Linked DNA regions of Xenopus tropicalis. The protein of the gene in region 5 purifies or fractionates together with the protein of the main gene of each other region. This does not show direct contact. Links are inferred from orthologs where the notes say so. Each region holds a gene or a part of one and is shown on either strand. Other genes may lie near its edges. The genes, in order: wbp2, dvl2, erbb4, vopp1 and wwox.

What was found.
Region 1: the proteins of wwox (region 5) and wbp2 purify together in Homo sapiens (affinity purification with mass spectrometry; 3 studies listed by BioGRID and IntAct, with this or other methods). This does not show direct contact. The link is inferred for Xenopus tropicalis from reciprocal best matches to the Homo sapiens genes WWOX and WBP2.
Region 2: the proteins of wwox (region 5) and dvl2 purify together in Homo sapiens (affinity purification with mass spectrometry; 4 studies listed by BioGRID and IntAct, counting the BioPlex papers as one, with this or other methods). This does not show direct contact. The link is inferred for Xenopus tropicalis from reciprocal best matches to the Homo sapiens genes WWOX and DVL2.
Region 3: the proteins of wwox (region 5) and erbb4 purify together in Homo sapiens (affinity purification with western blotting; 4 studies listed by BioGRID). This does not show direct contact. The link is inferred for Xenopus tropicalis from reciprocal best matches to the Homo sapiens genes WWOX and ERBB4.
Region 4: the proteins of wwox (region 5) and vopp1 purify together in Homo sapiens (affinity purification with mass spectrometry; 3 studies listed by BioGRID and IntAct, with this or other methods). This does not show direct contact. The link is inferred for Xenopus tropicalis from reciprocal best matches to the Homo sapiens genes WWOX and VOPP1.

What each region holds. Positions count from the first base shown.
Region 1 is NC_030686.2:44,868,959-44,874,284, forward strand, and holds the start of wbp2 (WW domain-binding protein 2), read right to left. Parts: upstream 3,451-5,326; 5' UTR 3,384-3,450; coding exon 3,325-3,383; intron 2,098-3,324; coding exon 1,989-2,097; intron 1,282-1,988; coding exon 1,146-1,281; intron 1,002-1,145; coding exon 909-1,001; intron 693-908; coding exon 561-692; intron 1-560. UniProt on the Homo sapiens protein: Acts as a transcriptional coactivator of estrogen and progesterone receptors (ESR1 and PGR) upon hormone activation. In presence of estrogen, binds to ESR1-responsive promoters. Synergizes with YAP1 to enhance PGR activity.
Region 2 is NC_030679.2:153,293,527-153,298,288, forward strand, and holds part of dvl2 (segment polarity protein dishevelled homolog DVL-2), read right to left. Parts: intron 3,695-4,762; coding exon 3,549-3,694; intron 3,480-3,548; coding exon 3,379-3,479; intron 1,244-3,378; coding exon 1,117-1,243; intron 1,039-1,116; coding exon 948-1,038; intron 861-947; coding exon 791-860; intron 506-790; coding exon 366-505; intron 284-365; coding exon 207-283; intron 125-206; coding exon 57-124; intron 1-56.
Region 3 is NC_030685.2:57,062,812-57,067,573, forward strand, and holds part of erbb4 (receptor tyrosine-protein kinase erbB-4), read right to left. Parts: intron 1,739-4,762; coding exon 1,438-1,738; intron 237-1,437; coding exon 1-236. UniProt on the Homo sapiens protein: Tyrosine-protein kinase that plays an essential role as cell surface receptor for neuregulins and EGF family members and regulates development of the heart, the central nervous system and the mammary gland, gene transcription, cell proliferation, differentiation, migration and apoptosis.
Region 4 is NC_030682.2:56,943,653-56,947,872, forward strand, and holds the end of vopp1 (vesicular, overexpressed in cancer, prosurvival protein 1 precursor), read right to left. Parts: intron 3,357-4,220; coding exon 3,220-3,356; intron 1,647-3,219; coding exon of another isoform or gene 1,635-1,646; coding exon 1,456-1,634; 3' UTR 971-1,455; downstream 1-970. UniProt on the Homo sapiens protein: Increases the transcriptional activity of NFKB1 by facilitating its nuclear translocation, DNA-binding and associated apoptotic response, when overexpressed. May sequester WWOX in lysosomal vesicles and thereby regulate WWOX role as tumor suppressor.
Region 5 is NC_030680.2:54,292,859-54,297,620, forward strand, and holds part of wwox (WW domain-containing oxidoreductase), read right to left. Parts: intron 2,097-4,762; coding exon 1,832-2,096; intron 1-1,831. UniProt on the Homo sapiens protein: Putative oxidoreductase. Acts as a tumor suppressor and plays a role in apoptosis. Required for normal bone development. May function synergistically with p53/TP53 to control genotoxic stress-induced cell death.

The DNA.
Region 1 (5,326 bases), on a different chromosome or scaffold from region 5:
CAATAGGGCTGTTCTGCCCCAATAAGGGGTAATTATATCTTAGTTGGGATCAAGTACAGGTACTGTTTTATTATTACAGAGAAAAGGGAATCATTTAACCATTAAATAAACCCAATAGGGCTGTTCTGCCCCAATAAGGGGTAATTATATCTTAGTTGGGATCAAGTACAGGTACTGTTTTATTATTACAGAGAAAAGGGGAATCATTTAACCATTAAATAAACCCAATAGGGCTGTTCTGCCCCCAATAAGGGGTAATTATATCTTAGTTGGGATCAAGTACAGGTACTGTTTTATTATTACAGAGAAAAGGGAATCATTTAACCATTAAATAAACTCAATAGGGCTGTTCTGCCCCAATAAGGGGTAATTATATCTTAGTTGGGATCAAGTACAGGTACTGTTTTATTATTACAGAGAAAAAGTAAATGATTTTGAAAAATTTGAATTATTTGCTTAAAATGGAGTCTATGTGAGATATTTAAGAACTTTCTGGATAATGGGTTTCCAGATGACAGATCTCACACCTGTATTTTATAATAGTGAGTAAAATGACTTACCGCTGGGTGGTGGCGGATAAGGATAACCAGCAGGTGGAGGTGGGTAGATGCCATTGGCTGCAGGAGGTGGGAAGACGTAGCCCCCATTGGGCATATATGGGTAGGCAACATTTGGAGCTCCTCCACTTGAGGCTACAAGGGCGAGTAGAAACCATATTTTATAAAAATGGGTAAAGGAAAAAGTGCATTGCAAAGGCTGAGGCAGAATTTCTGACCCATTGGGATTTCCCTTTAAATCTTTTCCCCGAGGTGTGGGGCTTGTGGCAAATGTGTATTTGCTCTCCTAGGTAGTCCTGGGAGTCCAGACTAAATGTCAAGAGATTGTGACTTCAGATACCCCCTGCTCACCTTGAGAGGCCACGTGTAGCATGTGCTGGCCGAACTCTATAGCGCCCCCTGAAGGAAAGCTTAGTTTAAATGTAGCAGATCCTTCCCAACCACCTGCAGGCAAAGAAATGAATTCCAGATTAAAAGATATATTTAACCTACAGCAAATTATATTAGCAAAAAATAAAGGCAGGTGTCCCAGGAGCTGAAGTGGGACCTAGAACGCATAGGTATCCGTCAGATAGTAACACTGCTCACCTCCAGGCTCAGCTCTCACGTTGCCCTTGATAAAATTGGCTCCAAATACGGGCTGCTTAATTTCACAGTCCTTCATCAGATAGAAGGGCATCATGAACGACTGCATGGGGTCCCTTCCTTTGGACACAAATATCACCTGTGGATGCAAAATTAGCCTCACCCACATGCATAATACACAAGAGCCGTAAAAGATATGCTTATAAATAGGTTAGAATCTGTGTCACATGACTCACTGAAATAATAATAACTGAAAGAATAATGTACCCCCTTGGAATAAAATGAGAGAATATTAGACACCTCAAAGCTTTAGGGCCTGTATTAAAGTGATTTTGTGCCGCCTTTATATGTTCATGGATCCCCTCTGTGACTTTTATTAAGGAGGTGTAGAAGGGCACTAGCCCTATATGTAATAAATGACACTAAAGTTTGGCATACACTGGCAAATCTAAGTTGCCGATTTGAGTCCTTCAGACCGTTTCGGGCGCTTATCTGCCCATGGGGCCCCCCAGCAGGCCTACCCAACCAATATCTGGATAAAAATGGGCAGGTGGCGAAACAATCGATTTAGCCAAATTTTGCCCACCTTAGGTGGAAATGATCCACTCGATTAAACCTTAAGTTTGCCTGATAGCAATAACCCACAGCAACCAATAAGTATATTCTACCTGCTGACTGGTTGCTATGGGTTACTGTTCCTGGGCAAATTTAGTTTTTTTAATTACATAACCCCCAAGTGTCTTCTCTGACCTAATGGAAAGTTTAGTTGCACATTAGCAGTTTATTCCATGGTGCCAATGAGTCAGACTGCACCTAATGAGTGAAGGAAAAGGGAGGCAGACTTACTCGATATGGTGTCAGAATGACTCTGCCTTTCTTGGTCCCTCTGAAAGCCTCTGGGGTGCTGTCCATGTCACTAAATGTGACCTCCACATGTTCATAAGAAGTAAGGATACTGGAAGATAATAAAGGGCAAGTTCAATGAGAACAGTGCAGTTTAGTAGTCAAAGACGAACTGCCAGCTGGACACCGGGAAAAAACCAAGCGGGCCCCTCGATCCCTGCTGGTGTTCCTGAACTGACGTCCCTCCACCAGACTGGGGGGTTTGGGATGATGGGGACCCCTTGGGGGTGTGGTGTGTGTGGGGGGTGGTTATTGTGCATCTTCATGATATTGGGCCAAACTGACTATCTGTTTGAGGAATAAGAGGAGTGCCCAAGGGTGTAAATGTAGAGGAAGAAGACCCTGCAACTGCCAAGGTATAAGAGATCAGTGTCAGACTGGGAACCCAGAGGCCCACCAGAAAACCTTAGACCCCAGGCCGCTTTTCCAAACTATTTTTCCTCCTTTCCTCACCCAACCTCTTTATTCTCCTAGTCTCTTTTATTTACATGCTAGCATCTATTCTTCCATCTATTTCTCTTCTTTGTTCCCATTCAGAAACAGGGAATGACCATGAAGCAGGCCAAATGCTGAGGAGCAGGAGGGCCCACTGACATCTGGGCCCACCGGGAGTTTTCCTGCTATCCTTGTGGGCCAGTCCGACACCGTAAGAGATCCAACAGAACACTGAATGATACGCGGTTTCAGTGGCATAACTGAGCCCTATAGCAAAATCATTTTAGCGCCCCAATAAACTTTAGGAATAAGACATTTTTTATAATAAAGCTATTAAAACTGCTTATCAGTCAGTGCCCTATGGGGCCTCCTATAATCTCCAGGGTCACTCTGCCTTCCCCGGGTCTGAGCGTTAAATATCTCCTACATATTGCAGCACTGTATACACCCCTCCACTGTATCATGTGATTATGTAAGTGCTTCATAAGAATATTATATTAAATTAATAATATAAATAATAATAAAGGGGGTTTAGTAAGTAAATCTCACAAGGGATACATGTGGGACATATTATATATAGATATGCTGATAGAATTAAGTATATTGTGCCTGGGAATAGGAAAACACACACAATATTATACAAATAGTACAGCAGACAGGCAAAGAGAGGGAGGCGGGTGTATCTGTATCAGCTCCATAATTGGCACAAATCCCTGCTCGTCATGTCCAAGCTCCGCCCCATATATGATGACAGATACCCGGAACCCATATTCATGCAGGGGGTCCGTCTAACGTTTCGCTGACTGCTTCCCGCGACTGTCTCTCTACTTAGCCGCTGTCCTACCTCTCGCTGTTGTTAATTACTGCACCTCCGCCATCCAGGTGGTTCCTGTTAAGGGCCATATTGCGGAGATAAAAAGGTCACACCTCCGCAGCCTAGCAACAGCCAATCACCGTGCTCGAAGAGTCTCTCGCACTTTGAGACGCAGTCTGGGCGGTTCCACTGCTGTAGGGCCGGCCGCTCATTGGCTGAGGGATCTATGACTGGCATGTGTTCTTGATCGCTAGGGGGCGTGTATCACTGAAAATAAACCATGGCCGCTTGAGGCGCTAATGTTGTAGTTGTGTTTCTGCGTTGCTAATACTTCATTGTAACGATCACTTAGCGCTGAGGCGCAGAGCTGCTCCGTGTATTACGGTTGTTACCAATGTAGCGCTGTGTTTGGGCGGCTATTCAGGGCAGTAAGTGTTAAATTCTACTTTATGGGGAATATCCAATCTTATTTTGTACAGTTATATCGGCCAATTAGTTAGTTAAACATACTACTTCACTACAAACCTCTCCTAACAGGATTTCATACAATCCCAATTGAGGTTATCACAGGGCTGATATTAAGCTATTTCATACTCCCCGCGTAGTTGCTTCGCCCCTTCTTACACTTAGGGGCACATTTACTAACCCACGAACGTCCAAAAAGTGTTTTTTTTTCGTAATGATCGGTATTTTGTGACTTTTTCGAGCGCTCAATACGAAAGTCGCGACAATTCGCGCAAGTCGTAACGGCTACGAAAAAGTCACAAAAAATATGAAAAAGTCGCAAAATGTTCGTTTTACAATCCAAATTTTTCCCATTCGGATTCGTGGATTAGTAAATCAGCCCCTTAGTATAGCGGCGGAAATACAAGAAGGTCTCTAACTGGTCGATGTATATATTAGTTGAGGTAAAGTTATCTTACAGGTAAGTATTACGTTGCGTTTCTCTAACATACGGTGGGTCCGGTATTGCCAGGGTAAAGCCGCCATACACGCACCGATAATATACGTAACCTCGTTTCATACGATATTCGGTGCGTGTATGGCAACTCGGCGAGGCGGCCGATATCACAGAAGGCTGTCGACTCACCAATCGGACCGGTTAAAAGATTTTGTTTGGGCACCGTAGAAGGCGCCTGAGCAAAATCTGCCTTCAGCGCTGAATCGGCAGAAGGAGGTAGAAATTAGAGCTGGGCGGTATGGCCAAAAATTTATATTGCAGTATTTTTCAAAATGATATCGGTGTCGCTGTATTTGACGGTATTTTTTTTTTTCCATGCATGATTAGGTGTTAACCCCATTTCCTAATAAATTAGAGAATAATTACTGTAGTATTGAAAATCAGAGTCAGGCAAGCGAAGGATCGGCAACAGAAAGTCGTAAGGTAAATCAGGCAGGCTTAGTTTCCCAGGCAAGGCCGCAGACAACATAGCACAGGAGGAGGCGTTTGATAGCTTTAAATACCCCCCACGCATGCGCAGAACCGGCGCCGTTAGCGCGTCGCGGACGTGCACGCTTTGACATGTACGTGCGCTTTGACGCACACACACCTGGACGCGCGTGCGCAATGTCCCGCGGACAACGGGACGCGCGCGCAAGGAGGCGTGCGAGAACGGGCCGCACGGGTGAGTACCCTGACACCCCGGTATTGCGGTATCTGAAAAATGAATATAGTTTTAAAAAAAACACCGGTATTCGGTATTAAACGGTATATCGCCCAGCTCTAGTAGAAATCCTATTGTTTCTACCTCCATATCTGACGTTTCAGCCCTGAACGTAAGTGGAGGGTGGGAACAATCTTTCGTGCGACTGATGGTTGCACGAAAGATCAAAAATTGCCACGTGTGTGGCCACCGTAAGTAACTAAGATGTATGAATACCTATTGGAGCCGGGAAATGGTTGAACAAAACCCACCCCGCGCCCCTTCCCAGGACTACACCAAGTACCCTTCGGCGTTTATAATTGAAACCCTCGTCACTCAGATAGAATTCACTACCACACGTGGAATTCTTCTGTACGTAAAGTCCCTAC
Region 2 (4,762 bases), on a different chromosome or scaffold from region 5:
TGCAGAAAGAGTTTGGGGGTACAAGAGGAGGGGGGTGTAGAAGTGGGGGGACTTACTGCGGGGGAGAGTGAAGTAGCCCTGTGGGGAAGGGTCCCAGCATTTGGCCACGGTCAGGATAATAGGCCTGTAAGAGAGGCAGGGTAAAATTAAAGGCATAAACACTTACCCCCCAGGCTATTAGTTGCCCCTAGGACCCACCCCCTTACCCCGGCTTATGGACAATATCCCTAAGGACACGAACAGCATCGTCGTTGCTCATATTCTCAAAATTGATGTCATTGACCTGCAGAGAGAGAGAGAGAGAGTGCATGGGGGTAAGTGCCCGGGGGTATCTACCTATCCAGCAAGGGAGGGGCAACACTTACCTGCAGCAACATGTCCCCGGGTTCAATCCTCCCGTCGGCTGCCACGGCTCCGCCCTTCATTATGGAGCCAATATAAATGCCCCCGTCACCGCGCTCGTTGCTCTGCCCCACGATAGAGATGCCCAGGAAATTGTACTTCTCTGGGGAGGGAGAGGAAAGGGTTAAGAACTGCCCATAAAGGGGCGGGGTCACATGGCTGGGAGTCCCCCGGACACCCCTGGTGCAACTGCGCCAAGCCTGGGCCCAAGCACTGCCCACTGACCAGTAGGGGGAGCTGTTCCTCCTCTCATCAGGGCTGTAGTGATTGGTGGGGGGAAGCTGTGAGTCAGGGTTAAAGGTCAATCTCCTGTCTCAGTAACTGCCCCCCTGGGGTACAGAGAAGGCGAGCTAAGCCAATGGGAGCAGAGTGGGCGGGGCCGACTCACCCATATTCAGCGTGACGGTGATGATGTTGAGGGACATGGTGGAGTCGGTGACGCTGCTGAAGGAGGAGGTCTGTAAGAGAGAGAAGGCGGGGCTGAGGGTGGGGCCTGGCTGGAGCACCAATCAGGGCACTCTATAGCTATCCCTGCTGTAACTCACCCTCTCCAGGCGGGGGGGTCTCTGCTTGCGGCGGCGCCGGTGGCGCTTCAGGAGGCGGGATGCGCTGCTCTGCTCCGTGGAACTGCTGAACCTGAGGGAACAGCCATATTGGCATCAGGCCCCATGCAAGCCCCTCCCACTCCCTGGCATCTGGGCGGGGCCACAGTACCTGCTCATAGCGTCGTCCTCCTCCGAGTCACAGATACTCGTCTCAATCTCACTGGTCAGAAGCGTCGAGGAGGATTCGTACCCCGAGAGGTGCCGCTCTGCCCGTCCATTCACCCCCCTGGCAACACCTGCGGGAACAGAGCAACCATAGTACCCTGGCATTGTGCCCCCTGTGCCCCAGGCCCCTCCCCCACCTGCGGGAACAGAGCAACCATAGTACCCTGGCATTGTGCCCCCAGTGCCCCAGGCCCCTCCCCCACCTGTGGGAACCAAGCAGCCATAGTACCCTGGCATTGTGCCCCCAGTGCCCCAGGCCCCTCCCCCACCTGTGGGAACCAAGCAGCCATAGTACCCTGGCATTGTGCCCCCAGTGCCCCAGGCCCCTCCCCCACCTGTGGGAACCAAGCAGCCATAGTACCCTGGCATTGTGCCCCCTGTGCCCCAGGCCCCTCCCCCACCTGCGGGAACAGAGCAACCATAGTACCCTGGCATTGTGCCCCCAGTGCCCCAGGCCCCTCCCCCACCTGTGGGAACCAAGCAGCCATAGTACCCTGGCATTGTGCCCCCAGTGCCCCAGGCCCCTCCCCCACCTGTGGGAACCAAGCAGCCATAGTACCCTGGCATTGTGCCCCAGGCCCCTCCCCCACCTGTGGGAACCAAGCAGCCATAGTACCCTGGCATTGTGCCCCCTGTGCCCCAGGCCCCTCCCCCACCTGTGGGAACCAAGCAGCCATAGTACCCTGGCATTGTGCCCCCAGTGCCCCCGGCCCCTCCCCCACCTGTGGGAACCAAGCAGCCATAGTACCCTGGCATTGTGCCCCCGGCCCCTCCCCCACCTGTGGGAACCAAGCAGCCACAGTACCCTGGCATTGTGCCCCCGGTGCCCCTCCCCCACCTGTGGGAACCAAGCAGCCACAGTACCCTGGCATTGTGCCCCCGGTGCCCCTCCCCCACCTGTGGGAACCAAGCAACCATAGTACCCTGGCATTGTGCCCCCTGTGCCCCCGGCCCCTCCCCCACCTGTGGGAACCAAGCAGCCATAGTACCCTGGCATTGTGCCCCCTGTGCCCCCGGACCCTCCCCCACCTGTGGGAACCAAGCAACCATAGTACCCTGGCATTGTGCCCCCAGTGCCCCCGGCCCCTCCCCCACCTGTGGGAACCAAGCAGCCATAGTACCCTGGCATTGTGCCCCCGGTGCCCCAGGCCCTCCCCCACCTGTGGGAACCGAGCAACCATAGTACCCTGGCATTGTGCCCCCAGTGCCCCCGGCCCCTCCCCCACCTGTGGGAACCAAGCAGCCATAGTACCCTGGCATTGTGCCCCCGGCCCCTCCCCCACCTGTGGGAACCAAGCAACCATAGTACCCTGGCATTGTGCCCCCAGTGCCCCCGGCCCCTCCCCCACCTGTGGAACCAAGCAGCCATAGTACCCTGGCATTGTGCCCCCAGTGCCCCAGGCCCCTCCCCCACCTGTGGGAACCAAGCAGCCATAGTACCCTGGCATTGTGCCCCCAGTGCCCCAGGCCCCTCCCCCACCTGTGGGAACCAAGCAGCCATAGTACCCTGGCATTGTGCCCCCTGTGCCCCAGGCCCCTCCCCCACCTGTGGGAACCGAGCAACCATAGTACCCTGGCATTGTGCCCCCGGCCCTCCCCCACCTGTGGGAACCAAGCAGCCATAGTACCCTGGCATTGTGCCCCCAGTGCCCCAGGCCCCTCCCCCACCTGTGGGAACCAAGCAACCATAGTACCCTGGCATTGTGCCCCCGGCCCCTCCCCCACCTGTGGGAACCAAGCAACCATAGTACCCTGGCATTGTGCCCCCAGTGCCCTCGGCCCCTCCCCCACCTGTGGGAACCAAGCAGCCATAGTACCCTGGCATTGTGCCCCCGGACCCTCCCCCACCTGTGGGAACCAAGCAACCATAGTACCCTGGCATTGTGCCCCCAGTGCCCTCGGCCCCTCCCCCACCTGTGGGAACCAAGCAGCCATAGTACCCTGGCATTGTGCCCCCGGACCCTCCCCCACCTGTGGGAACCAAGCAGCCATAGTACCCTGGCATTGTGCCCCCGGCCCCTCCCCCACCTGTGGGAACCAAGCAGCCATAGTACCCTGGCATTGTGCCCCCAGTGCCCCCGGCCCCTCCCCCACCTGTGGGAACCAAGCAGCCATAGTACCCTGGCATTGTGCCCCCGGCCCCTCCCCCACCTGTGGGAACCAAGCAACCATAGTACCCTGGCATTGTGCCCCCGGTGCCCCTCACCTTGCTCGGTGCTGTCTCGGCGCCTGACCCGGTCTCTGCGCATGGAGATTACAGACTCGTTGTCCTGATCCAGTTGCTCGGTGCTGCCCGACACGTTGGGGCTGAGAGAGACATAAGCACAGTCAGTTCCTGCGGGCAGGGGGGCCCCGGGGCCACACCCTCATACTTACTGAAAGGAGGGAGGCCGCGAGTCTCCAATACCACTGGTCCTCTCTGCGGGGGGCGGCGGCACAGGGGGTGGGACAGGGGGTGGGTCGGGTCGGACCTCTGCAGCTGGGGGGGCAGAATCCGTCTGGGAGGTCTCGGAGGACACGAGCTGCACCAGAGAGACAGGGGGGGAATTAAACGTACGCGGGCGCCCAACTGGCACCCAACCGGCGTCACAAAGGCACCCAACCGGCGTCACAAAGGCACCCAACCGGCGTCACACAGGCACCCAACCGGCGTCACACAGGCACCCAACCGGCGTCACACAGGCACCCAACCTGGCACCCAACCGGCGTCACACAGGCACCCAACCGGCGTCACACAGGCACCCAACCGGCGCCACACAGGCACCCAACCGGCACCCAACCGGCGTCACACAGGCACCCAACTGGCGTCACACAGGCACCCAACCGGCACCCAACCGGCGTCACACAGGCACCCAACCGGCACCCAACCGGCGTCACACAGGCACCCCAGCACCCACGGGCCGGCACCCAACCGGCGCCACACAGGCACCCAACCGGCGCCACACAGGCACCCAACCGGCGCCACACAGGCACCCAACCGGCGCCACACAGGCACCCAACCGGCGCCACACAGGCACCCAACCGGCGCCACACAGGCACCCAACCGGCGCCACACAGGCACCCAACCGGCGCCACACAGGCACCCAACCGGCGCCACACAGGCACCCAACCGGCGCCACACAGGCACCCAACCGGCGCCACACAGGCACCCAACCGGCGCCACAGGCCCACCGGCGCCACCGGCCCAACCGGCGCCACACAGGCACCCAACCGGCGCCACACAGGCACCCACCGGCGCCACACAGGCACCCAACCGGCGCCACACAGGCACCCAACCGGCGCCACACAGGCACCCAACCGGCGCCACACAGGCACCCAACCGGCGCCACACAGGCACCCAACCGGCGCCACACAGGCACCCAACCGGCGCCACACAGGCACCCAACCGGCACATAACTATAAACCCAGTGAGAATGAGGAATGAATGGATATTGGGGAGTTGTATCAGGAGTCAGAACCAGCAGTGCAGGGAAGGGAAAGGGACAGACACAGTGACAGTTACACATAACTATAAACCCAGTGAGAATGAGGGATGAATGGATATTGGGGAGTTGTATCAGGAGTCAGAACCAGCAGTGCAGGGAAGGGAA
Region 3 (4,762 bases), on a different chromosome or scaffold from region 5:
ATTATCAAATGCCTTCTTGGATTTCTCTGGCACAGTAAGTCCATTATTTTTCAGGTACTCAGCATTTTCCTTGGGTTTAGCAAAAGAGTTCAAATACAAACGCTCTTTGACATATTCATCTTCTGACTTAGACTGTGTGCTGGGCCCATTATTATACTCTGGTTTCTCCACAGCTTGGACATCCCCATTTTTCCTTCGAGATACAAAGGGATTCTCTTCAACTGGGTTTAAATAATCTGGAAGACAAAACAGAGCAGTTGCTGAAAGGTTCTGTCATTGATCAATGTGAGGTCTTAACCAGGTAATTTTGTATTATGTCAAATTCTGCCTCCTAATGCAGTGCTATTATGTATAGCTGACTTATCAGCCATTTCAGCGTCTAAGACATTTTGATAAATTGTAGATTAACAATGAGAGTACAAAAATTACATCATTTTAAATCTATGGTCCTCTTGTATTGCTCTTGACAACGCTGGGCTTTTTTTTTCAAACTAACCCAGCAGAATATCTGTATAATACAAAATAATTTCAATAGCTTATTCTTTAATTCTATATTAGTCTTAAACTATTGTAGGGTTTCTAATATGTGTTTATGGCTTTTAATGTTTTTAAGGATGTCAGGAAAACCACATGTAATGGAAACTCTTACTTAATACATATGAGGATTCTTCTTGGAAAAATACTCCTAAACTGGATCTTAGTTTTTATAGGATATTGACAGTTAAAGTTGACAGAGAGACGTTTATACCCAAAATGTTGCAGGTACTGTATGTGCTACTGTTTGTAAACAAGCAGTCACCCCCGGAGTATGGAATAATTTCTTCTGCACAAATTGTCTACATTATACTCTGTTCCCTTTACCACATGGTACAAGGACACTTGAATACATTCAATATGTTTGACAGGATTCTGATTCGAGGGGGGGATCATAAATTCAAGAAAATATTTACATATGAAAACACAATAATAACTGAAAAAATATCACTAAGTTCTAGTGACCCACATTAAAGTCAGATGCTGGCGGTTTGGTTACTAGACCATGCACACGCCTTCTGACACTTAATACATTATCCCTTTACAGGTAATATAAAAATGCCTCAAAGCTTGCATCCGGTTACTAGAACAGGCTTTTGTTACGTTACCTTGAGTGTGTTTTTACAGTATTACTGTTAGCACTTTCATATGCATTTCTAGTTTTTTTCCTAATTGCTATGGCAGCATCTATCAGTCTGAAGCATCATGGAGCTTTCTAGTACTCACTCCCATGATACAGATGTGCAAACTTTTTCTAAGGTTGTTCTCTTCTGATTGCCCTTCTGTTAATGATCCTTAAGATACCTGACTACTTCAACAGAGATAAAAAGTGTTCAAAAACATTCTCAAGATTAGTCAATATCATATTTTTATACAGGACTATCAACAGTAGTCACTACCTACCAGACTTCGGTTTTTCCTTCATGGGAGTCATATAGCCATCTTCCCCGACAACTCCTCTGGGGTTGCGTTCCGGCACAAATGCAGTGGGGTCAGCACTATATCTCTGCAGGCTGCTCTCCTCTGGTATTCGCTCTGATACCACCTGTTTACAAAGTGTGCCATTGCAACAAACATCATCAAAGACTTCAGCTGTAGCCCCCTGTGCTGTTGAGAGTTCTGTTATTGGGCAGGCAGTGGGTCTGAAGGGAAGATTTACTGCTTCTTGAGTGGTGTAGCCCCCATCTCTATAAACAAACTGGTTCTATGGAAGACAAAGACAGAAGACAAACTTTTATTATTGACAATTTCATAATGATGATTACCAAACAATGTTCTATAATCACAGACAAATTATCTGTTGTAGAAGAAATATGAGGGCAATCAATGAATGCTTATTTTTACTGAGACTCTTTTAGGACTACACAGCTTGCTGCATGTACATAAATGCTGCTAAACAAATTAACAGGGGCCTACATATTGATTGACACAGATAAAGTCCCACTGGAACGGCAGCCACAGCAACATCACATAATGCATTATTACTGTGACACCAATTTCTTTTATGTCTATATAGCAATAACCAAGGGCAGATAAGAGCCCAAAGGAACTCTTTCATAATGTAGTTTAGTACAGGGCTGTTAGACTCTAAAACTAATTTACCAACCTAGGTATACCCATCACATTATAAGAACACTGTGTGTGCAAGTACTGTACACTGCCCTAGGGTCATTGTAAGTGGTGTATGAAGCCCAAAAGGTATGCTGTATCTACTGTAGCTTGGTATTGCACTCCATGTCCAGCTTTTTACTTGGAGTGAGTCAGTCAATCATTTGTCACTGTGTGCCATGTCCTATTAAAATGATGGTATATCCAAAGGTCTGTGGTGGTTAAAGAGGGGATAGTAGCCATGAAAACCACTTGGATGGTTCAAGAAAAGGCCTTCCTAAAAGTTGTGAAAACATACATTGAAAAGGACAAATTTTAGTAAAACTCCAAATAAAGCGGCGGTCACCTAACAATATGTTGATCTGTGGTCTGTGTGGATGCATAGGGGCACATTTACTAAGCCACGAATGTCCGAAAGCGCCCAAATGGGTTTTTTCCGTAATGATCAGTATTTTGCGACTTTTTCATCGCTGCAGCGTTTTTTTCAGATTTTGCGTGTTTTTTTGTCGCTGTTACGACTTTATCGTATATTTTTCGCAACTTTTTCGTCGCCGTCGCAAAAAATTCGGATTGGTTTTTCCGCCATTTACAATTGCTCAATACGAAAAAATCGTGACGGCGACGAAAAAAATAGTGCAAAATACGATAAAGTCATGCTGGCGACGAAAAAGTTGCGCAAAATACAAAAAAACCGCAACAGCAACGAAAAAGTCGCAAAATTTTCGTTTCCAATCCGATTTTTTCCCATTCGGGATTCGGATTTGAGGATTAGTAAATGTGCTCCATAGAGTTTGTTACAAATAATTGTTTTGGATAATATTTTACATAAAAATATCCCTGCAATTGTGATGTGGAGTACACATATTCATTTTAGTAATGATTCCTACAGCGAGAAATGACAGACTTCCTCTCCAGAACATGTCATTTACATTAAGATATATGTATGTATTAATGTATGCATAAGATATTTATATTTATTATACATATCTATCTACGAGATCTATCTACACTCCCTTTATGTGTTTACAGTTTATACCATTTTGTGCATCACTGTATCTGGTTAATAAGCTTACACCAAGCACTAAGAATGTACATCACAGTAAGTCCTGCTGGAAAAGCCAGTGGCGCAGTTCAGTCTTGTAGGTCTACTCAAGTGGAACTAATTACTAAACATCTGTAATTCAGGATGTCTGCAATTCCCCAGCCATTATCACACAACCCTTTGTTTGTAAGGTTAAAATATATAATCTTGCCATTATCTGGCAGACAAAACCCAAAAGAGAACTTTAATGATTAAACTATGTCAGTGGAGACAGAGAACTTTCTAGTAGGATGTGCTAGCTTTCTTTGTTAACTGCATAATTACAGAAGAAATACACATCACAAATTTTTCGGCAGGCATGGATTGGCTGCGAAATTCCGCATTTCCCTATTGGTGAATTTTTTTGTATTACAGGCAGAAAAATTTGCAGCGGAAAAAAAGTTACAGGTGAGTCACAAAAAAATCACAAAAATGATTATTAGGGGTATATTGTTTGTGTAGGCAATATAATATTGCTTTTTGTGGGAAAATCAGAATTTGAAAGCAGAGTTAATATCACCTTTATATAAAACAGGGACTAGAATATCACTATGCTTCCCATTCAAATTTGTTTTATTATACGCATACATTCTTTTACTAAATGCCTACAACTCATTCTACAAATCTTAACAATGCTTGCTAAGAATACACATACCAGAAAATTCATGGGTGTTTGCCGTTAGCCCCTAGTGTCCCAGGCCCCACTGAAGATTGGTTTTACATTTCATAGATAATTCTGCCTTTGTGATGTATTTTTGTGTAGCAAAAAAAGCAGCTTTATAAAAACAATGAATGGACTGTGGAAATGATATAATTCGTTTATGGTGTAAGAAGGGTTAAAGACTGCTGTGATATAACAGCTTTGTCCTGTAGAGTAGTAATTAGTGAAATTTGCCACAGCTTTTGATGACTTGCTGACCTACAGCCTGGGCCCAGCAGCAAAAAACAAATGACTGATTGATTCAATTACCGGGCTGTCTTCTTATTCACTGTCCCCTCTGTGATGGTTCTCCGAACCCTATATTAATGACGTTTCTGACTGTCCCTTCTCAAGCCTTTCTCATAATAAACTAGCTGCTGTCGAATTTCATTTGAGATCCATCTATGAAAACACCTTAGTGTCAGGACACGATTGTAATTATGCAAAAATCTTCACTAATTAACTTTTCCTGGTTCTCGTCAGCTTCTGTTCAATCAGACTTGTCTAAATTTACATCTCAGACCACAAGTCTTAGAGAAGAATGGTAAATCTATACATTTTTTGAGGGAAACTTTGAAGGCAAGGCAAAAGAGACTGCAGATACTAGGGGTCATTTATATTACCCCATGGCTTAAGTGCTGGAGTGTGCTGGAGCTCCCCATGGCTGCTAGACTCCTGTTACTGTCAAACGCATGTACATGACCTTTACTACAAGAAGTAGGCATCTTCATGCAGTTGCGATGAACAAAAAGCACTTTTAATGAACAGCTTCTTGCAGGGAGGCAGGTTACAGACCGGGGCTCTGGTTGCAAACTCAAGGATGATCAATACACACTACA
Region 4 (4,220 bases), on a different chromosome or scaffold from region 5:
TCTTCAGCTTATTGTCCTATGTATAGAGCTAAATAATCCAGATATCTTGTCAGACCATTAATTTAGTGTTATTGTGATGGCCCAAGCGGTTGGATCAGACTACGGGGGGAATATATTATGCTGTGTAAAACTAATTCGCTGAAAAAACGGAGTAAAAAGCTGTGTAAAATAAATGGAAAAGATCGCCGTCTGAACACCGGATATTACGCCGTTATTTTCCATAAGTTCCGGTGGAAGAAAAAACGCGTAAATGATTACGCTGTTTTTACACAGTGAAGCCTGGCGATGTGTGGCGAATTTTCTCGCCGTTTTTTACACAGCATAATAAATATGCCCCTTAATGTCACTTTTGTCTAATGAGAAGATGATTATATGCATGGCCAGATTAAAAGTCTTGAAATAGTTTCAAAAGTCAGTGGGTCCCATTTACAAAGTGCAGGGCAGGGTGCAAAGTGCAAAAAAACATGTACCAACTGCCATATTTGTTTCACCCTGTCCCACACAGAGTACCATAGGCACAGGTGAGACCCGCTGCCCAAATGAATGTCCATATAATGTGGATTATTTTCGTTTTCTTTCTTTTCTTTTGAGTGTCATTCCGCGGTTTCATTCTGCAGGCTTAGGGACTGATAAAGATAGGTGCCAAATTGAACCTCTGGTGTTGCCTATAGCAACCAATCAGATCTTTGCTTTCATTTTCAAACTGTCAATAGGCTGCTCAAAACTATTTTCTATTGTCTATTGATTGCTATGGGCCACCGCACTGGTCATTCACCATTTAATAAATATAACTTTAAAACTCCCAAAGAAATGAATAGGGAGCAGTGGAATTTTACTGTGATAAATTTTACTTTGATAAATCTGCCCCAAAGTCCTGGCTTATAGTATAAAAGTGAAAGGAAAAATGGTTTCTTTACAAAGTATCAATCACAAAGAACAAATAGGAACAAAGAATAAGAAAATGGAAATATTAACAATTCTGACAATAAAATTAGTTTTATTTATTGGGATTAAAAACACGTATTCAAATAAGGTTCAGTCAAGAGCATGCCTTTTACTGAAGATATTGCATGATCTGCTAGCACTCTTGGGACCATGAGGCAACGATATGTAATGTACATCACCAGTTGAGAAACATACGTACATTAGAGTAACTACATACTACATAAGAGTGATAAAAAAATTAGGCCTCTTCAGCACTAGAATGGAGACCTGGGACAATTACACCCTCATCCCACCCCAGCCAGGTGCTGGAAAGGTAAAAAGGTATACTAGTTACAGACATTGGCAGGATTGCAACCACTTTCCATAAAAACAAGACATCCATTCCATTCGGCAAGCCAGTACTGAGGCTAGCAATACTCTTATGCCAGCTGAGCTAGTGCAGAGCCAAGTCCTCCTTGTGGTAAAGTCAATCACTTGTCAAGAGTCAGGTTTAAGGAAACTGCCGAGGGTTCATTTGCAGGATTTCACCACTTGCTCATAAGGAGGTGGAGGCGTGTTGCAGTAAGAAGGTGGAGGAGGGAATGGTGGATTCCCTTGTGGAGAGGGCTGAACATGAAAGGATGGTGTCACTGGGTTTCCCATAGCTCCTCCTGGATCAGAGTAATATGGCATTCCTGGGTGCTGGGGTCCTGCAAAAAAAACTGCATGCCTTTATTTTTTCCTATTCCACTTCTAGTGCAGTTAATCTGTTGTAAGGGGCAATACATAAGCACCAAAGAGCAGAATGTACTAGGGCAGTGATCCCCAACCAGTGGCTCAGGAGCAACATGTTGCTCCCCAACCTCTTGGATGTTGCTCCCAGTGGCATCAAAGCAGGTGCTCATTTTTTAATTTCTGGCTTGGAGGCAAGTTTTGGTTGCATAAAACCCAGTGTAAAGGCAAACAGAGTCTTCTGTAGGCTTCCAGTCCACATAGGGGGTACCACATAGCCAATTATAGCTTTTATTTGCACCCCCAGGAACTTTTTCCATGCTTGTGTTGCTCCCCAACTCTTTTTCCATTTGAATGTGGCTCCCGGGTATAAAAGGTTGGGGATCCCTGTACTAGGGAAATTAAGTTTTGCCAATATGAGTAAAGAACTAAGAGTCAGAAATAATGAGTTTTAGGGTTTTAGTGTATTTGGTGGGTGGTGACAGGTACTGGCTTTGTGGAGGAAGAAAGATGTATTAGGAGAGCAGATTAGTTCCTGGGAGTTTCTGTTAAAGCTTCAAGGGCCACAGAAGCAGCATAGGTAGCAAGTACTGTAGCTGGCAAGTTTACTAATCCAGGATATGTATTTATATGTATCAAGCAGGGATTACAGTGGCAGATTAGCGGTTAAAATGCTTCAAGCAAATACTAAAGCATTTTAAAAAGAAGGAAAGTACCATTGTGTGACAGTTGCCCTTTCTTTCTGCTCTTACCATATGATTAGAGTACATTTGCTCTTTGTACTTTTGTTCCCACTCTGCTGTATTCCCTGCCATGTAACTGAGCACACTGCACTACACTTATTGCAGTTTCAGAATGCTGGAATATTTTCACAGAGTTGAAGCAATATAAGGGCTCTCACACTTTACATTTGAGGTGCAGGTTTAAGCACACTTTAACACACATGAGCGTAGTTGTACCCAGGAACATTTAAAAAATGTATGTGTGGGCCCTAAGGCAGAACTTTACACATACTTTTGAGCTACCTTATAGTACAGCAGTTGTCCAGCGCTGCCTTCTCCCTGTGCCCTATACATTCAATTAAATACATGCAAGTGTGCACTCATGTTTGCTCTTGAGCCTGTAAATGATTCCTAATGAGTACATTACAGGGGTGTAGGGCAAGACAATGGGTGCCCCCAAACACCTTCATTCCTCTCCCTCCATGAAAACCAAATTGCCAGTGCTGGCAGTACTGTACTCAGGGAAGGCAGGCTGGGGGAAGCATATAGGCATTCCTAACCTGTGCATCATCAGACATGCAAGTCGGGGAGACCTGCCCTATCCTATGGTGGCACATTAGGGAGGGCCTCCTGGTGCCTGTTACCTTCCGCTAGATATTTAATCCAGTGAATGGCCGTGTGTGGTTACTGAATTAGCACTAAAAAGCACAATTTTTGCGCTGCTTAGCACTCTTGCACTTGTGTCCAGGCCCTAATGATTCCTTACACATCTTATCACTAATGAACTTTATCTTCAAGTTTCTGCCACATGAAACGCTATGAAAAAATACAGAGTAATTACCTGGTGGAGGCCCTGCAGGTTGCCTGGTGTATGAGACATTAAAAGTAGGTTCATCAACAAGCAAAGGTGGGTACATCCTTCTTCTGATAAAAAATCCAGCCCCACAACAAAACAGTACACCCATCATCAAGAGGAACCTAAAGAGAAGTGAGAAACTATGTTTATCACCCAACAGGACTGCAATTAAGGAAAGATGCCAGCATTACTGGATAGTAGTTATATATACATGAACACAAGGTGAGTAACGTCATAAGGAAATAAAAATACCCTGTGCATTTACAGACAGGGGCCCAATTACCAATGGTACAGACACAAGTCTTGAGGTGTTAAAGGACATGTAAAGCCTACATTTGCCTACAATGTATATCAGTTGGGCACATCTCCCCCATCCAAATGGCACCATTAGTACTGCATATATCCCCTCCGCTTGCCAGCACCATCAACATTTTCCTAAAGCAAATAGCAGCTTTCACCCGGTGGCCATTTTTCCTCTGATACATAATCAGTTACATTTAAATCTGCAAACAGCATATACACACACACACAGACATGGGCGTCCGCAGAAAATTTTCCAAGGGGGGGCAAGTAAGCTAGCATCATCCTGCAACAGACAAATATATATATATATATATATAAAAATATATATATTTTTTTTGCAGGATGATACTAGGGGAGGCTAAAGATGGCCCATACACAGACTGACCTACAGCTAATGTGACACTTAGTGGATTCGCTGCTGGCGTAAAAAGTTAACCTCCCAACTACCTCTTGCCGTTCCCACTGACTCCCAGGGATACTGTACAAAAGTGCGGGTGGGGGTGCTTTTTTTTTTTTACCCTAAAATGTTTAGGATGTAAAAGTATTCATACGCGCACTTCTGTTAGGGGATCTGCAAACATTTGTGTTTGTGATCAGTTAGCTTAAAGGGGTAGTTCGCATTCAATTCACTTTTATTTTTAATGGTTTTTCAGTTATTTAGCTTTTTGTTCAGCAGCTCTCCA
Region 5 (4,762 bases):
AGGGGGGATATATATATATATAAATATAAGAGCTACTGGGTTAAGGTCAGTGGTGAAGATCTTGACTGCTAAAGGGTGCTGGTTTACTTGAGCTAGAACAGAAGCCTGCGTGTGGCATACTACTTTTTTGGACTTGAGTCCACCTTTTAAGTCCACAAGCAGAATGGCTAATTTGTTCCAATGAGGCTTTCATTTTTAATATATGCGGTTTGTATAACAATGGTGTGTATATGTATGCACAAAACAAAAAAAATGTGATTCTTTAGATCCTTTCAAAGTTGAAAAAAAAAACCCATACAAAATTCCCAACTCTACCTGACAGACACCTCCAGCCATTCTGGAATTTGGTACATGTTAGAGTAATAAATCTTTGTGCATCAGGTTATTTGAGGGCAGATTCATGCTGTTGTGGCTAGCTAAGGTTAACACGGTGACAGCTTGTGCTTTCATGCTGTAATTTATAACTCTGCAAGAGAACCAGAGTTTTATTCCCATCTATTAAAAAGGGAACAGCACATCTGTTAAAGTTCTAGCACAATGACTGGCTTTCCAATGAAACAGGAAACGTAACTGAATAGTCTCAGAACTTCAACAAACCTTACCCACTTTTAAATGTTAAAAAATAAGGGTTTTGAAACTTGAGTTCCTTGTAGCATCTGCTAAGCGCTTGCTGCCCCCTAACACATGGTATTCTTCTGCTTAGATCCTTGCCAACAAAAATATTTGGTTCTATCAAAGTTACAGCCAATGTGTGATAATAGTAACTTGGGCTCAGCACTTGCAGATTTATAGATCTCTACTTGGAAGACATCAAAGAAGCTTATAGCAGTTAATTTATTCTCTGAAGCAAATTCCTGTCCAAATTTTGGAAGTTATAATTTCATCATTAAGCAGCAAATGTAAATCCTCCTACTGAGGCCTGCCACTAAAAAAATATCAATATATATGCATTCCCACCAGTTTGCCAACAGCCACTGGGATTTTTGCATTACGCTAATGAAATGTAACGAGGAAATATACCTCATTTATAAGTAGGGATTATCATCCATTTATTTTCCTTCAATAAAATATCACCTAGCTGCCACTTGGAAAAAAACAGAATCCATTATTTTCATGATGTCTAAAGTGCCAGTGGAGGTAAGCAATATTCCAGCACCCACACCTAATTGTCAAGCAAAAATGCACGGAATGAATGTTCCATGCGCACAGTAATATCAGACTTAATTATTTCCTAATTATGCAAACAGAGGATATATTCTTCTCTAAATAGGATACAATTAAATGGAATTATTAACTGTTAATATGCAGAGATTTAAAGCCAAATTTAGGCTTGCATGCAATGGATGTTGGTTTTTCCAAGAACTCTACTGCTATAATGTACAAAACAGATAATGCTCCTTTTATGCAACCAGAAGTAAAGGTGACAAGGTCACTTAGTTGTTTTTACCAATACTTCACATTTTTCTTGGGCACATACTTATTTCAATAAATTACAGGCAAACATGTTTAGCACAAGCTCCCTTTCCCCTCCTTATCCTGAAGAGCCAATTTCCAAGATTTTTTACCAGATCACATTTCATTTGTCTCCACTCTGCAGACGAATGTATTGCACATCAACAAGCAATTATCTCAATAAACAAGTCCTGAAGTGCCCGGCACTCAGTATTACTTGAGGGAGTATTTCAATATAACTACCATCTCAAGATCACATAGAAGTCTTAATGTAAAGCCTACAGTTTTGAAAGATGTAAATGCAAATGTGTACATCTGGATATTTTATACACTTTAATTCAACTCAGAAAACAGAAGATATGTAAAACCTTTCACTCACCATGGACTTTGTGAATGGCCGTACCAAAGCAAACAGCAATGTATACCCCCACCAGTTGCGATGAATAGAGGAGTACATCATATTTCCCGGATGTACTGCATTAGACGTCACCCCATGGGGAGAAAGGCGGCGGTTCAGCTCCTTGGAGAACAAGATATTGCACAACTTGGAACGGTTGTAAGCCAACATGGCCCAGTAGTCTTTCTTCAATGGGGAAAGCAGGTTCAGGTCAAGTTTCCCTGATGAATCTTTAATTTCTGTAAATCTAAGGGAAAAAAGGTGAACTATTTTTTTAGACATCCTGCCAGTAAAACTTTACTACAATCCAGCAAGAAGTAACCAGCCTCTGCTATAATCAGTTTCTTACATGCTAAAGTTGTTGAACAGAAAGAAATGCAAATTACGAATAATTTATGTAATTCAATCAAGAAAAAAGGAATGACTAATACAAGATAACATTGTTATAACAATCTAATAGCGCTTTTGTGCTGTATAATGTAATATTGGTATATAACTAATATTAAGAATTTAAAAGTAGTTGTAATTCTTTTTACGAATATTTACTCAAAATTCAGCTTAGGTTTTACTTTGAACAGGTTTATTCATCTTGTAATACACTGCTAATGTTGGCATCTGTTAAATAAGCTTTGAGAATGTTATTTCGTCAGCTTCTTCCACAGTAGAAGATACATTCTGCATGGAAATACAGTTTCCCAAAATGCCCCCTTGGCTGCTGGGACATTAGAGCCTTGCTTACTGGTGAGGTTTACCAATATATACTGTAATATGGTGCAACTTAACAATTTAGCTCTAGTGGTTCTTAAACAAAGCTAATTTATTAAACAGTTGGGCAAAGCAGTATCACAGCTGATTTAAGTTTTCATAAAAAGCTGTCTCTACAGGACACTACTTACCGAAGCTAACTGAGCCTAGCAAAAAACACCAGGACACATAAGTGGGGTGCAGGTCGGCCACAGCTTTATTAGAAAAACACTTAGTCCTTGCCATCTTTTTTTCCACATGTACAAAAACATCTTAATGAACTTATAGCTGTTTTATAACCAAATGCCGGCCACTGCAAATGCAGACATCAATTAACACCAGAAATTAAATTGTCAAGGACTATCACCCGCCATATGCTGTGATAATTTTCGCAACAAATATAAGAGACAATGGTTTATACAAAACATATACAGGTATGGGATCCCTCATCCGAAAACCCGTTATCCAGAAAGCTCCGAATTAAGGAGAGCCTGTCTCCCATAGACTCCATTTTAATCAAATAATTTAGAATTTTAAAACTGGTTTCCTTTTTCTCTCTAGAAATTAAACAGTACCTTGTAATTGATCCCAACTAAGATATAAATAATCCTTATTGGATGCAAACCAATCCTATTGGGTTTAATTAATGTTTTGTTGATTTTTTAGTAGACTTAAGGTATGGAGTTCCAAATTACGGAAAGACCCCTTATCCGGAATACCCTTGGTCCCGAGCATTCTGGATAACGGGTCCTATACCTGTATATATATATTTTATATATACATATATATATTTTTTTAAACAGTTATTTCCCAGTTGAGTTTAGCACAGGGTGGGAGGGAGTGAGATGCAGCTCAGGTCTGTGAAAGTGTGGGAGCGGGAGAACACAAGCGGAAGAGGCGGGGGCAGGCAGCCAAGGTGAGTTAAGTGCACAGAGCTCAATAGCATTTTGCTAGCTCCTCAGCACTTTCTCTATGTTTTCCAGTGCTCTCCAGGACAGACAGTTCATTAGCATGAAAAACAAAAATAAATCAAAACCTTTGCCACATTTGGGTTCTAACATGGCATTTACCCTCTCTACAGGCATTCACGGCTAAGAACAAAAGTACAACTCTACACGGAGTGTACCTTCTCAGAATCCTTTTCTTTTATAACTCAGCAGCATTTCAAACTGCTGCCCTCTTTCCACACAGATTCTCAGGTCTTCCAGCTCTTACTAGGGCCATCCTCTCTCTGGGTTGCTAGCAGATCTCAAGCTACTAATTATTCCCCAGGTGAAACAGCCTAAGAGAATTAACCCATTCAGGTCCGCTGAACATGAAGAAATATATGACGAGCCTAAATGAAAAATATTTCCCTTTAAACTCTTCTCCAATTACTAGTCCACACTAGGGTGGCACCAAAGCTTGTAGTGAGCAGGGATATAAAGCAAGTTGTGGATCAGACCATTAGAACACCAGAACATAAAGTGTGCGAGTCCAAACTGTGGCCTATTACAGCATTAGAAAAAAGTACAATTTAAAAAATTTACAATGTAAATTTTGGTAAAATTAACTTCTCTTCACTCTTTCATCTGCCAATGCACATGGTAGTCGCTGGCATTGTGCATCAGAAAAGGACATACCTGACTTAATCTAGAAATGCATTGCTAGCCATAAGATCATAGCAGCTGTCCAACAAAATGATAACTCATCTTAACTAAGACAAGGTAAATGGGTACATTGTACTTTCTGCACCCATTATCAACATATATAGGACATTAAGACTTTCTGTGCATTAAGCTACCAAGAAATGCCCTCCCCTTTAAGCAAAACAGGGATTGTTTGATCTCTTGTTGTTATCTATATGTATTTTGTGGTCACAACCTCATTGCACCCCGCCTAATGGTTTAAAATTTAGTGGTTGAGCACAACTTTCCCCCTTTTTTTCATACATTGTACTTTTGCAACTGTATATGAGTATATGAAATCTGACATAGAACAATATTAAATAGGAGCAATTATATGTTGACAATTTACATTTAATTTTAGTATTTAATATTCATTATATAATTCATCTAAAGTTTCCCAGTATATTACTATATGTATATCTATATATACACATACATACATACACTATATAACAAAAAATACATAAGCTAAATTATGTTATCTAATTATAAATTTTCTTGA